Linked DNA regions of Macaca mulatta. The protein of the gene in region 1 interacts with the protein of each later gene in a biochemical or structural test. Links are inferred from orthologs where the notes say so. Each region holds a gene or a part of one and is shown in the gene's direction. Other genes may lie near its edges. The genes, in order: ANGPT1, TIE1 and TEK.

Region 1 (4,378 bases):
AAGTTCAAGAGGCTGCAAAAGTGGTTCAAATATTTTATTGCCGTGTTTGGCATAACTTGCTTCCATATCTGTCCAATCAGAAATTTGTTATTTAGTGTGGAAAGGACTGATGAATCTCAGCAAGGTTTCTCTCCCCAAATAAATCGCATTAGTTCTGGAATTTGTTTTGACCTCTCCTCTAACTTCTCCCTAAATGCCCATCTCTAACCACTACCAACCTTCACCCACTGCCCTGTTCTCCTTCCAGGACATGGAGATGACAGCTGTGGCTTCTGTTTTTCCACTATGACTGCAGTTGCCTAAAAGCCCTCCCAGTTCCTAATGAAAATCCCAACTCATAGTTCATGTTTTCTGCATCTAGTAAACATCTCAGAGCCATTCCCTGAATTCTAAAATTATCGCCTCTTTATATTTACGGGTCCCTTTGTTCAAAGGTTTATACGCTGCCTTTGGGAAATCATCTTCTGATAATTTTTCTTTCTTCCTTCACAGAAGCACAGAGATGTCTCCTGTGCAGCCCATTGCTGGCTGTTAGCACACCTGATATACGCTTGTTCTTACATGGTGTGTCTGTGCAGCCACAGGAGGTTTTTATGTAAACTTCCATACCAGTGTTAAAGACAGCCGTAGCCACCAAAGAGATCCTTGTAAAATATAGGATTAGGATATACCACAGGAATTAATAATTCTCAAGCCACTGCTTTAAATTGTAGCCACATTGTTTTTGTAGGGAAGTTGCTCAGTTTATATACACGGAACACGAAGGGTTGCATTCTGATCAGGACACCAGTTTCATTTAAGACCCCTATACCAAAAGGTACTTAGATAATCCTCTTTAATATGCATATACTATATTGCTTTGTGCAACATATTGCTTTGAGCAACAAATGATGCTAATTTTCTTGCTACTTTGATCCTGATTATTTTCTTCAACTCCTAAAAGTCTAAGTGAATACGATGAAAGAATACCCCCTGTAAAAATTGTTATTTTACATATTTTTCCTCAGAGTCAAGAATACATGTTTTTAAAAGACATTTAATAATGATACGGGTTTATCATTCTCTATCAAAAATAATTTCATTGGACATCATGCCAATTTTCTTCTTAGGGTCCCTCGACTAAATAGTAACTTTAAAAACATACTGCTAGTTGGCTGTATTTTAGTAGGTCAGCATGCACACCAAAAGTGTATTAAGGTGGACTGCTCTATTTATTGATTTGCCTTGAATCTGTTAAAGGCTCAAGGCAATTGTCTGCGGAAGGGGGCGGGAGGGCCATACATGATCGAGGTCATGCGCATCTAGCCAATTTGTAAGACGATCCTGCCGCCCTAAGCCATCAGCAATCCTTAGCATAGGGGCACACTCACGCATTCCTGTCAAGTCATCTTGTGAAAGGCTGCCTGCTTCCAGCTTGGCTTGGATGTGCAACCTTAATAAAACTCACTGAGGTCTGGAAGAAAATAGCAGATCTGAAGCAGATAGGGTAGAGGAAAGAGTCTAGAATATGTACACGCAGCTGACTCAGGCAGGCTCCACGCTGAACGGTCACACAGAGAGGAAACAATAAATCTCAGCTACTATGCAATAAATATCTCAAGTTTTAACGAAGGAAAATATCATTACAGTGAAATAAAAAATTTTAACATTTTAGAACAAAGCTAACAAATGGCTAGTTTTCTATTATTCTTCTTCAAACGCTTTCTTTGAGGGGGAGAGAGTCAAACAAACAAGCAGATTTACCTGAAATAAAGAACTAGTTTAGAGGTCAGAAGAAAGGAGCAAGTTTTGCGAGAGGCACGGAAGGAGAGTGCTGGCAGTACAATGACAGTTTTCCTTTCCTTTGCTTTCCTCGCTGCCATTCTGACTCACACAGGGTGCAGCAACCAGCGCCGAAGTCCAGAAAACAGTGGGAGAAGATATAACCGGATTCAACATGGGCAATGTGCCTATACTTTCATTCTTCCAGAACACGATGGGAACTGTCGTGAGAGTACGACAGACCAGTACAACACAAACGCTCTGCAGAGAGATGCTCCACACGTGGAACCGGATTTCTCTTCCCAGAAACTTCAACATCTGGAACATGTGATGGAAAATTATACTCAGTGGCTGCAAAAAGTAAGTGATTGCTTTCAGTTTCTAATAGCACGGAGCTTTTTCCGTTCTTGCACTGCAGCTAACTTAAAGTTCCTTAGGGGCGCATTTGTGTGTTTACCTTTTGCTCCAGGGGGGCAGTGTTTGCAATTGCAAGACGGCTGTCTGGGTTTGGCTTCCTGGGTAAGCCAAGGTTTGGGGGCTTGCGCAATCCTATGAATGTGTGGGGGCACCCCGTGTGTGTCTAGCCCTGGTAAATTTTATGACATTTCTGGTTTCTCTTGTTTAAAGTTCAGCATTAAGAGTCTTTCTGTCAAAACTCTACCTTAAGAAAGAAAGCATGTACCTCTTAAGCAAGTTGGTGAAAAATAAATAATCGTAATGACTATACTAATTAATAAGATCAAATCGATTTTGCACCAGAAAATTTTGTGCCACTGGGGTGGCAAATCATCACAAAGTATTTGTTTTTTTTTTTTAACCTTTAGAAAAATTAACATGAAGTGAGAGTAAATGTAAAATATGATATTTGGTTGGAGAAATTGTATATTTATGTAAAGGGAACCGTTAATTTCAGCAAGTGGTAGAATAGTAGAGGACTGATTTCTGTTAAATATTTTTTCTTCTGTCCTTGAGAAAAAAAATTTTAAAAAGATACGTTGTAATGTGAACTGTCAGAAAGGGCTTGCTTGCTCACAATGAGAACACGCTGGCTGTTGAGGAAGACATGCACCTGCAGATTTGGGCTGAATGCAACATGTAGTCTCTACTATATTCCTGAAACACCTCCCTTCTCAGGGCATTGTAGTTACAGAGACAGTACCTGGCGAGTTTACGTATCCATGTTATTTGATGAATGTTAATGTCGAGTATGAATGTAAACTCAATTTATAGAAATCAAATCAAATAGTTTATCCAGTTATTTATCTACAAACCATTTAAAAGTTTTTGTTGAAGATATGCCTATTAAATTATGAACACACTTCTGCAATTCATTCTGTCTTTGCACTCTGTTTAATAATAGGCAGCCGAGAATAAGTATATTCCACTGACTATGCCACTAGAATGGAGGCAATGTCCCAATTTGTGAAAAGCTTCTCTCCCTCGTTAATGGATTTACTTGGTACATATAAATAGGTATGCAATCAGGCTTCTTTAAGTTAGTCTGTAAACGAGGCAATCCCTTTAAAAAGATAAAAGATAGGGAAAGGACAAATGCTCTATTTTGTTCCTGTGTGATCACACTCGCTTAGGTCATCGCCTGCTGAATCATGCCAAGTAATAGTTATTCTACTTTTGTCCACTAGGGACTGAACTAAGATCACTGTTATTTTATTTGACACATTAACTGGAACTTAGTAGTTCTACAGTTTCCAAACCTGATATTGTAATCTTTCTATTACAGACTATAGGACTGTAATACGCAATCAGTAGGTAGGTAGAAGAATAAAAAGCAAACAGAACTCTCGGTTTTTTTTCAATTGTAGCTTAAATTTTAGGCACTGCTTTCAATAGTAGTTTATAATAGGATGTTTGTATTTTTCTTTGGTAAAACTTATTTCCATTGTAAACAAATGATTTTGGTTGAATAGCTTGTTGTTATTCTTCAGTACACCATCCATATAGTTTTTAGTGAGAATCCAATCATATATTAGTCTGGATTCTTTGAGGGAATGGGGAGGAAAATTTAGTCCCAAGTTACCCCGAATGATCTATTCTACCAAAAACGTAATGTTTTGTTTGCTTAAAACGCATAATCAAAATAGTGATTCAAACATAGTAATGCATATTTCTTGTTGCTATGCAATTATTCAGCAGTGACAGGGTAAACACATAATTCTGCTGGGCTTAAATCATGCACGTGTTTCATATGTTAATTTATTTTGCAAAATAAATTTGATTCTTGTTTGCATTGTTCTTGGTCAATGATTGTGGGATAGCTTTCAGATTATAGCCAAGAATAACTATTAAAATGTTCTTTGGTTACATTGACCCTTTCAAGTGTAAATATCAAGCTGAATATATGCTGAAAACGTCCCTATTGGTATGAGTCAGAGCAGTGTGGCTTGACTATTGTCAGTTTAAATTTGCATATCTTTTGTCATTGTCAATGTGATTGGTTGGAGGATCAAGAAACCAAATAAATGCATTCAACAAAGAACTTGCTAAAGGCTTTCATAAGTTTCCCTTAATTAGGAGTTTTCTTCACTCCAAGTTCTAAAATTCATGTGATGTATTGATTCTGATAATAGAAATGGGAATCTTTTTACTGTAACTATTT
Region 2 (3,619 bases), on another chromosome or scaffold:
CTGTGGAGCTCAGAGGGTGACCAGCTTGGCTTCCTAGAAGTGGTGCATGCCTAGGAATCTGCCAGGTAAATAAGGAGGGACCTCCCAGTGCCCAAGATTACTCAGACCAGAGCACCCCCCACTCCCAGTCCCTTCACCTTCTCCAGCTTCTCCAGCACCCTAAGCCTTAACCGTTTGCACCCCGGCCACCCTGTGACCCTGCTGTCCCTCTCCTCCTGCTTCCTGTTACCCCATGTAAGCCCCCTCTCTCACCTTCTGCTTTCTCATTGCCACACTCTGCCTCCCAGGTCCTCGCCATCTCCCCATCCTGTGACTGTGCATCCCTCTCTGCCATCATGCCCCACCTTCCGCCTTTCTCTTCTCACTCTGCCCAGGCTTAGGAGCCAGACAACCTGGGCTTGAACCCTCTCTCCACAAATTCCTTGCCCCATCACCTTAAGCAAAGTACTTAACCTCTCTTACTTTGTTTCTCTCTCTGTGAAATGGGGATAGTTAGCACTTGATGGGGTTGTTAGGAAGATTAAATTAGATGATGCATTTAAGCATTTAGCACAGTGCCCAATACAGGGTGCATGCTCAATATATGTTGATAATTATTGTTCTTATTATTTAAAATGTCACCTAGTCCCTAGATTTTTATTGTTTTCTAGCAGCTCTCACATATGATCTGCAGCTGGGACCCCTCTTCTGACTCCAGATCATTTGGTGGGGCCTCCATGAAGTGGGGCATCTTCTCTGGAAGTCTGGTTTTGAAGTTAGTGTGGAAAGTGGCTGCTGTATGATTCAGAGGCCCATTTTATATCCAGCCACTCCCTGGACATCTAATCCCCTGCATGAGACAAAGGCACCAAGGGCTTCTCCGCACCCAAAATGGACCTTCTTCTCCCCCCAAATCAGCACCGCCTCCTGACATGCTTATTGCTGCCTGACACTCCCTCAGCTTACAGCGCTGCATCCTTTTCCTCCCTTGCTCCCTCCCTCTTTCCTTCCTTCCTTTCCTCTCAAAAAGCCAGTCTCATAAACATTTGTAAGAGTCAAGGGAACCTGTTAAAAGCACTAATGCAATCATCTGGAGAGAAAAAGTTGAGTCCAGAATAGCAACAGCGATCATGGGGTGAGGAAGTGGGACAGGGACACGAAGGCTGTTTTGGAGTAGAATGGATAGATCCAGGCGGCCTGTGCAGACAGACCTAGTTCAACACATGGCTGTATCTCCTCCTAGTTGTGTGTCCTTAGGCAAGTTATTCGGTGTCTCTGAGTCTCAGTGTTTTCATAATGCAGGCTAATGAGCCCTGACGGAAAGGTGGCTGTGAGAATTAGAGGTCATACTATGAAGCATGTGGTGGGGAGCAGGTGCTTCAGTGCCGGTGCCATTTTTTTAAATTAAGAGAGTGGTGAATGAGAGCAGGGGCAGAGAGCAGGATGATGCCCAGGTTGTCTCCCTGCCCTGGGTTTCAGCCCCTTCTGTCTACCCCCACACTGCATGGGAAGAGTGCACCCCCAAACCATGTCTGGCCATGTCACTTCCTCATCTACTATCTTTTGGGACACCCTCATGCTTTTATTGCTGAATCCTTGTGCCCCAAGCTACCCAGGGGCCTGAACTCTGTCCTTCCTGGGCCCTGGCCACTATGGTCATCTGTTGAACTTGGTGTCCCTCAAGCCCAGAGGGTCCCCAGCTTGAAATAAGACACAGAAGTGGACTGGATAGGCTGTGTGCCCATGCCTTACCCTGAGTCTCCTGGCAGTGCCCCCCGTGCCCCTGGCTGCACCTCGGCTCCTGACCAAGCAGAGCCGCCAGCTTGTGGTCTCCCCGCTGGTCTCGTTCTCTGGTGATGGACCCATCTCCTCCGTCCGCCTGCACTACCGGCCCCAGGACAGTACCATGGACTGGTCGACCATTGTGGGTGAGTAGGGAGAGAGCTGGGGCAGGACAGGGGTGTTGGGTAATAGTGAAGGGATACGGTGAGCAGGAGAGGGAGGGCAAATGGTTTGAGGGGGCTGAAGGGAGCATGGCAGCTTCTAGAAGAGGTGGGGGCTGAATGATGTGTGCTGTACACCCCACCCCCAGTGGACCCCAGTGAGAACGTGACATTAATGAACCTAAGGCCAAAGACAGGATACAGTGTTCGTGTGCAGCTGAGCCGGCCAGGGGAAGGAGGAGAGGGGGCCTGGGGGCCTCCCACCCTCATGACCACAGACTGTCCTGGTGAGAGGCCAAGAGTCATCTCTTCCTGTCCCCCCAGCAGTTACTGTCCTGTCCACCCCAGGGACCCCTGCCTTTTCCATTGGAGGTTGTTCTTCCTTGTTCACTGGGGATCACTGTCCTGTCCAGCCCCAAGTACCTACTGGACAGTTCTGACCCCTGACCTCTGGCCCCAGAGCCTTTGTTGCAGCCGTGGCTGGAGGGCTGGCATGTGGAAGGCCCTGACCGGCTGCGAGTGAGCTGGTCCTTGCCCTTGGTGCCCGGGCCACTGGTGGGCGACGGTTTCCTGCTGCGCCTGTGGGACGGGACACGGGGGCAGGAGCGGCGGGAGAACGTCTCATCCCCCCAGGCCCGCACTGCCCTCCTGACGGGACTTACGCCTGGCACTCACTACCAGCTGGATGTGCAGCTCTACCACTGCACCCTCCTGGGCCCAGCCTCGCCCCCTGCACACGTGCTTCTGCCCCCCAGTGGTATGCCCAGGGCGCAGGGATAGCTGGGGGTTGGGGGAGGACGTGGGACGCAGGGACACATGAGACCTAGGAGACACAGGAGGCTATAGATTAATGGACATGGAGAGGACATGGGACATGCTAGGGTATTAGGCAGACGTGACCCCAGCGGGGACATGGGACTTGGGGAAGATCCAGGATACCAGGAGGACACAGATCACCAGGAGCATGTGGGGAGAGCATGGGGAGGTCAGGGTTCATGGCGAGAACCAGGGTCATGGGAGGGCAAGAGACTTGGGGAGCAGGGGGCATGGGAGGATGTGGAGAGGACTTGGGATACAAGTAGTACAAGGAGAAGCAGAAGCTTGGGGGTGAAGGTGGCCTGGGGGAATGGAGAGGAATTCAGGCTGGTGGGGAGGAGGAAGTTGGCAGGGTGGCTCCTGTGCGTGGACCCACAGAGCAGGGGGCACAGCTAGAGCAGATGTGTCCAGCGCCACAGCTACATAGCCCAGTCCCGTCTGAGCCTTGCCTTCCCGCCCCCATCTCCTCAGGGCCTCCAGCCCCCCGACACCTCCACGCCCAGGCTCTCTCAGACTCCGAGATCCAGCTGACATGGCAGCACCCGGAGGCTCTGCCTGGGCCGATATCCAAGTACGTTGTGGAGGTGCAGGTGGCTGGGGGTGCAGGAGAGCCACTGTGGATAGACGTGGACAGGCCTGAGGAGACAAGCACCATCATCCGTGGCCTCAACGCCAGCACGCGCTACCTCTTCCGCGTGCGGGCCGGCATTCAGGGGCTCGGGGACTGGAGCAACACAGTAGAAGAGTCCACCCTGGGCAACGGTGAGAGGGGAAGGCCCACAGGACCCCCGGGCTCTGAGTGGGGAGAGCTCAGTGTGCTCTCCCTCCACATCACCCCCTGCTGTGGAACTAGGGCATCCCAGGCCCCTCCCAACAAAGAC
Region 3 (4,295 bases), on another chromosome or scaffold:
AAGATGAAAGAAAGTAAATTTATTAACATTTAATGAGAACCTTCCATGAACTAGGCGTAGTACCAAATGGTTTTATATTTTTAAGCTTCATTTATTCGTCTCAAAACACCTGGTAAGGAAGTATTTTTGCCATTTTACAGCTGTTGAAACTGAGCCTCAAAAAGACTAAGTAACTTGTCTCAGCCACACATGTGGCTAAGCCAGTATTTGAACCCAGGTCTGTTTGCAGACAGAACCTGGGCTTTTTCACACCTGCAAACCGGAAACATTAATTGGTTCTTAAGATCAGCATAGATGTGATAAAACCTGGGACAGAAATTAGTCAAGACTAGCTGCATCTGCCTTTTCCTGTGGTTGGTAGGAAAAGGAGGAGGATAATGATTTCCTCAGGCATGAAGGTTGATGATGAGCAAAGTGTATACTCTCTAATCTAATGTCATAATTCATATTGTGGAGAAATTATCATCTGGATAAGTGTAGGGTCTCTGATCTCATTTTAGGTATTGTACATTCAATGGCTCTTTTCATTTTGGCCCATGTACTCTCTTTGCTCTTATGAGCACTATTTTTATCCCAATTTAATCCTGTATGTTTGTGTTTTTACACAGATTAGTTTCTAAATGTTATATATAATTTGCTTCTGAAACACCATTGCTCAATGACTATGAAATCCTTCTCATTACCAAAATCCTTCTATGCCAACTTCTTCAAGAAATTTGATCACCTTTAGATGAATTGTTAATGAAAATTAAAGCTATAGCCAGCAACATGGGTATCTTTGGGCTAATGGCCAACCAACAGGCCATCTGTGTGAAAGAAAACAGGCTAACAATTTTGGACTCTGGTCTCTTGGGGCTACGTTGAGCATTGACCTCACCGGTGCTCACTGAAATTAATTGCCTTTCAGGTTGTATTTTCTCATCACGGAAACCTTCTTTTCCCAATTCAAACCATGTGGGTTAAAATGAGAAAACAAAAGCCAAAACGGTTCCCCACACCCAAAAGCTTCTTCTGTCAGAGATCCCAGTAGCCCCGGGAGAGCTGTTAGAAGTCTGAGAAGGATTGGTCATCATCGCATACCATACATAGGTGGAGGGCTTGTTATTCTCAGTTTCCCGCCTATGAGAGGATACCCCTATTGTTTCTGAAAATGCTGACCGGGACCCACACTTCCAACAAAAATTCCTCTACCCCTACAGCAGCAGCAACAGCAGCAGCAGAAGCAACAGCAACAGATAAGTGTTTTGATGAATTGCGAGATGGATAGGGCTTGAGTGCCCCCAGCCCTGCTGATACCAAATGCCTTTAAGATACAGCCTTTCCCATCCTAATCTACAAAGGAAACAGGAAAAAGGAACTTAAAACTCCCTGTGCTCAGACAGAAATGAGACTGTTACAGCCTGCTTCTGTGCTGTTCCTTCTTGTCTCTAACTTGTAAACAAGACGTAGTAGGACGATGCGAATGGAAAGTCACAAACCGCTGGGTTTTTGAAAGGATCCTTGGGACCTCATGCACATCTGTGGAAACTGGATGGAGAGATTTGGGGAAGCATGGACTCTTTAGCCAGCTTAGTTCTCTGTGGAGTCAGCTTGCTCCTTTCTGGTAAGGTTTGGCTTTATTTTTTTTAAATTAGTATTTTTAAAAACAGAGTTAGTGACTTCTGGGTGCTCTCCCCAAATCTCATCAGTGCTGATTAACAAGGGGTGGCTGTAGCAAAGGCACCATTTCTCTGTGAGTCTCCAGTCAATATGTGTGGAAGGATTGAAATGCAAAGTCTCTGTGGCATGAACTGATTTTCTTAGAGTTTGTCTTCTGGGTGATTGGCCCCTGTGTTATAAACTCGTTGAGGACCGATTAAATCATCTTATTTGAAGAGATCTCCTTACTATCATGCATTATTTTCCTCTTCCTCATTCTGGAGTGTTTTTCTTACTGAATTTTTAAAGAACAAACCAGTTTTACCTACTTTAAAGAGAATCTTCAGTAAAAAATGAAAGTCATGTTGAGAAATACAGGGGCCCTATTAAGGCAGTGTATAGATTGTCACTGTTTTAAAGAGAACAAAAATGCTTTTCTGTGAAAAGATTTTATATTTATATCCTATTTTAAGCAAATTAATGAAATTGTAGGCTTTTTTTTTTTTTTTTTCCTTGTAGTTAGGGTCAGGGAGATTGGGGCCATTAGAATTTTTGTTTTAGTTTTAAAAATGTTTGCCATCTAGTAATTCATAAAGGGTTTACTGGCTCAATGAAGCAAAAATTTAGGCAGTTACCAAGATCGTTAACACAGGAGAGTATAGAAGCCTGTTGTAGAGTGGAGGAATGGTTGGCCAGTATGTTTGGATTTAGTGTGTTTATTGCTCAGATACTCCAGATAGTGGTGTGTCTCTGTGGCTCACTCAGCCTCTGTGACATAGGCAGAAGGCAGTATCCAAACCCCAACTACAGATCCCAAATACATTATCATTGCCATCAGTCTCTTTCCTTCAGTTTGAAAACATTCTAATTATAATGAAAATTGAATTGATATTGGAGATAAATTTGGGAAAATTCACTAAACTTCATGGATATAGGCTATATTAATAGAATTTGATTCAAGTATACATAAGTATCTGCTCTATTTTCTAGATGTTTGAAATATTTTAAATATTCAAAAAAAATCCAATTAAATAAGAGTTGAATACAATTTGTTTTATAGCTCTCAACCAACATATTGAGAATTTAATAATATTTTTAAAAGTAAGAATGTGTAACACAAGTTGCTAAAAATTAAAGATTTTAGGTGGCTTCAGTATTTATATGGAAATTGTTTAAATAATGTTGACTTCTCCAATAATATGTACCTTTAAATAATTACCATGATTCCATTTTTGATTTTCTTTTTTTCTGAGGGCCATTATTTACCAGTGACATAAAATCTGAAACTGATTCTATACCAGGGATTATAGTGATGTGAAGCCCAGGTGTCTAGAGTTTCTCTGAGGTACTTTGTAGGTTAAGTAATACACACACAACGGTTTTCATTCACTTTTTTGCCCCTAAAGCAACTATGTTATAGCACTGTGCAATACAGGCTTAGAAGAATTGTCATCAAACAAAAAGGTCATGTGGCCAAAATAGTTGCTCCATGTCTAGACCTTAGATCCTTGAAAAAAACAGCACTGCCTTTAAAAGGGAGAGGACCAAGGAGAGGAAGTAGGTCATATTCTTGTTGGGAAGGGTGACACTAGCAAGGTTAGTTTCTGAGGTAGGTCTGTTGTCTTGATTGTAACTTGCATTCCTAGTCTAAGCCTCCATGAGCCTGACTGCTTGAGGCTTGGTAATTGCAACGAGAAGAATCCAGCTAGATCATGTCCACAGCCATAGGAGCCCATTTCTCTAGTCAAACTCCTGGTAGACTACAGCAGTGGGGCAAGGCGCTTATGGCTTATAGGTTTATCTCTCTAGTCCAGTAGGTTGTTTCTCATTTCTTTTTTCTGAACCAACAGACTGAAGAAAGAAATGCCACTTTTTTTCAGTGAAGGTGGCTCTGGATGGCAGAGTTGCTGGCCCATAAAATGGCTGCAGGAGGTGTGTAGGTCTCAGAAGCTCCTCACAAATATTCCTAGATTCTGTTGCTTTCCTTTCTGACTTGAAAATCATTGCTAACTTCAGGTTTCAAACAGTTTCTATTATATTAGCTTTTCCCTACTCTCCTATCCTCATCAAACCAGGCTGCTCTCTTTAAAGAGTTGTATACATAGAAAACTAACAAAAAAATCACTGATTTATCATAGTATCTTCTACATGATCAACACTGATCTAATAGGAAGTCTCTAGTCTCATGCCTTCATACCCCTTTTACTGTGTCACTTGACTTTTTTTTTTTTTTTTTTTTTTTTGAGATGGAGTCTCGCTCTGTTACTCAGGCTAGAGTATAGTGGAGTGATCTCGGCTCACTGCAACCTCTGCCTCCCAGGTTCAAGCGATTCTGTGCCTCAGCCTCTCAAGTAGCTGGGATTACAGGCACCTGCCACCGCCATGCCCAGCTAATTTGTTGTATTTTTAATAGAGACGGGGTTTCACCATGTTGGCCAGGCTGGTCTTGAACTCCTGACCCTAAGTGATCCACCCGCCTCGGCCTCCCAAAGTGCTGGGATTACTGGCGTGAGCCACCACGCCCGGCCTTGTCACTTGACATTTTAAATAACAACTGGATTCAGAGATAGCAGACATCTTGTCTGGAGTGGCAGAGGAAACAGTTGTAAGGTCAGGGAAGTGCTCCCAGATGAAACCTCCTTGTTAGGGCTGGTCTC

What was found.
Region 2: the proteins of ANGPT1 (region 1) and TIE1 interact in a biophysical measurement, tested with the Homo sapiens proteins (2 studies listed by BioGRID and IntAct, with this or other methods). The link is inferred for Macaca mulatta from reciprocal best matches to the Homo sapiens genes ANGPT1 and TIE1.
Region 3: the proteins of ANGPT1 (region 1) and TEK form a complex in vitro, tested with the Homo sapiens proteins (6 studies listed by BioGRID and IntAct, with this or other methods). The link is inferred for Macaca mulatta from reciprocal best matches to the Homo sapiens genes ANGPT1 and TEK.

Annotation. Positions count from the first base shown.
Region 1 is NC_133413.1:117,799,187-117,803,564, reverse strand, and holds the start of ANGPT1 (angiopoietin-1 precursor), read left to right. Parts: upstream 1-1,491; 5' UTR 1,492-1,824; coding exon 1,825-2,121; exon of another isoform or gene 2,122-2,256; intron 2,257-4,378. UniProt on the Homo sapiens protein: Binds and activates TEK/TIE2 receptor by inducing its dimerization and tyrosine phosphorylation.
Region 2 is NC_133406.1:197,351,103-197,354,721, reverse strand, and holds part of TIE1 (tyrosine-protein kinase receptor Tie-1), read left to right. Parts: intron 1-1,748; coding exon 1,749-1,907; intron 1,908-2,071; coding exon 2,072-2,209; intron 2,210-2,382; coding exon 2,383-2,679; intron 2,680-3,209; coding exon 3,210-3,500; intron 3,501-3,619. UniProt on the Homo sapiens protein: Transmembrane tyrosine-protein kinase that may modulate TEK/TIE2 activity and contribute to the regulation of angiogenesis.
Region 3 is NC_133420.1:72,146,243-72,150,537, reverse strand, and holds the start of TEK (angiopoietin-1 receptor), read left to right. Parts: upstream 1-1,410; 5' UTR 1,411-1,551; coding exon 1,552-1,603; intron 1,604-4,295. UniProt on the Homo sapiens protein: Tyrosine-protein kinase that acts as a cell-surface receptor for ANGPT1, ANGPT2 and ANGPT4 and regulates angiogenesis, endothelial cell survival, proliferation, migration, adhesion and cell spreading, reorganization of the actin cytoskeleton, but also maintenance of vascular quiescence.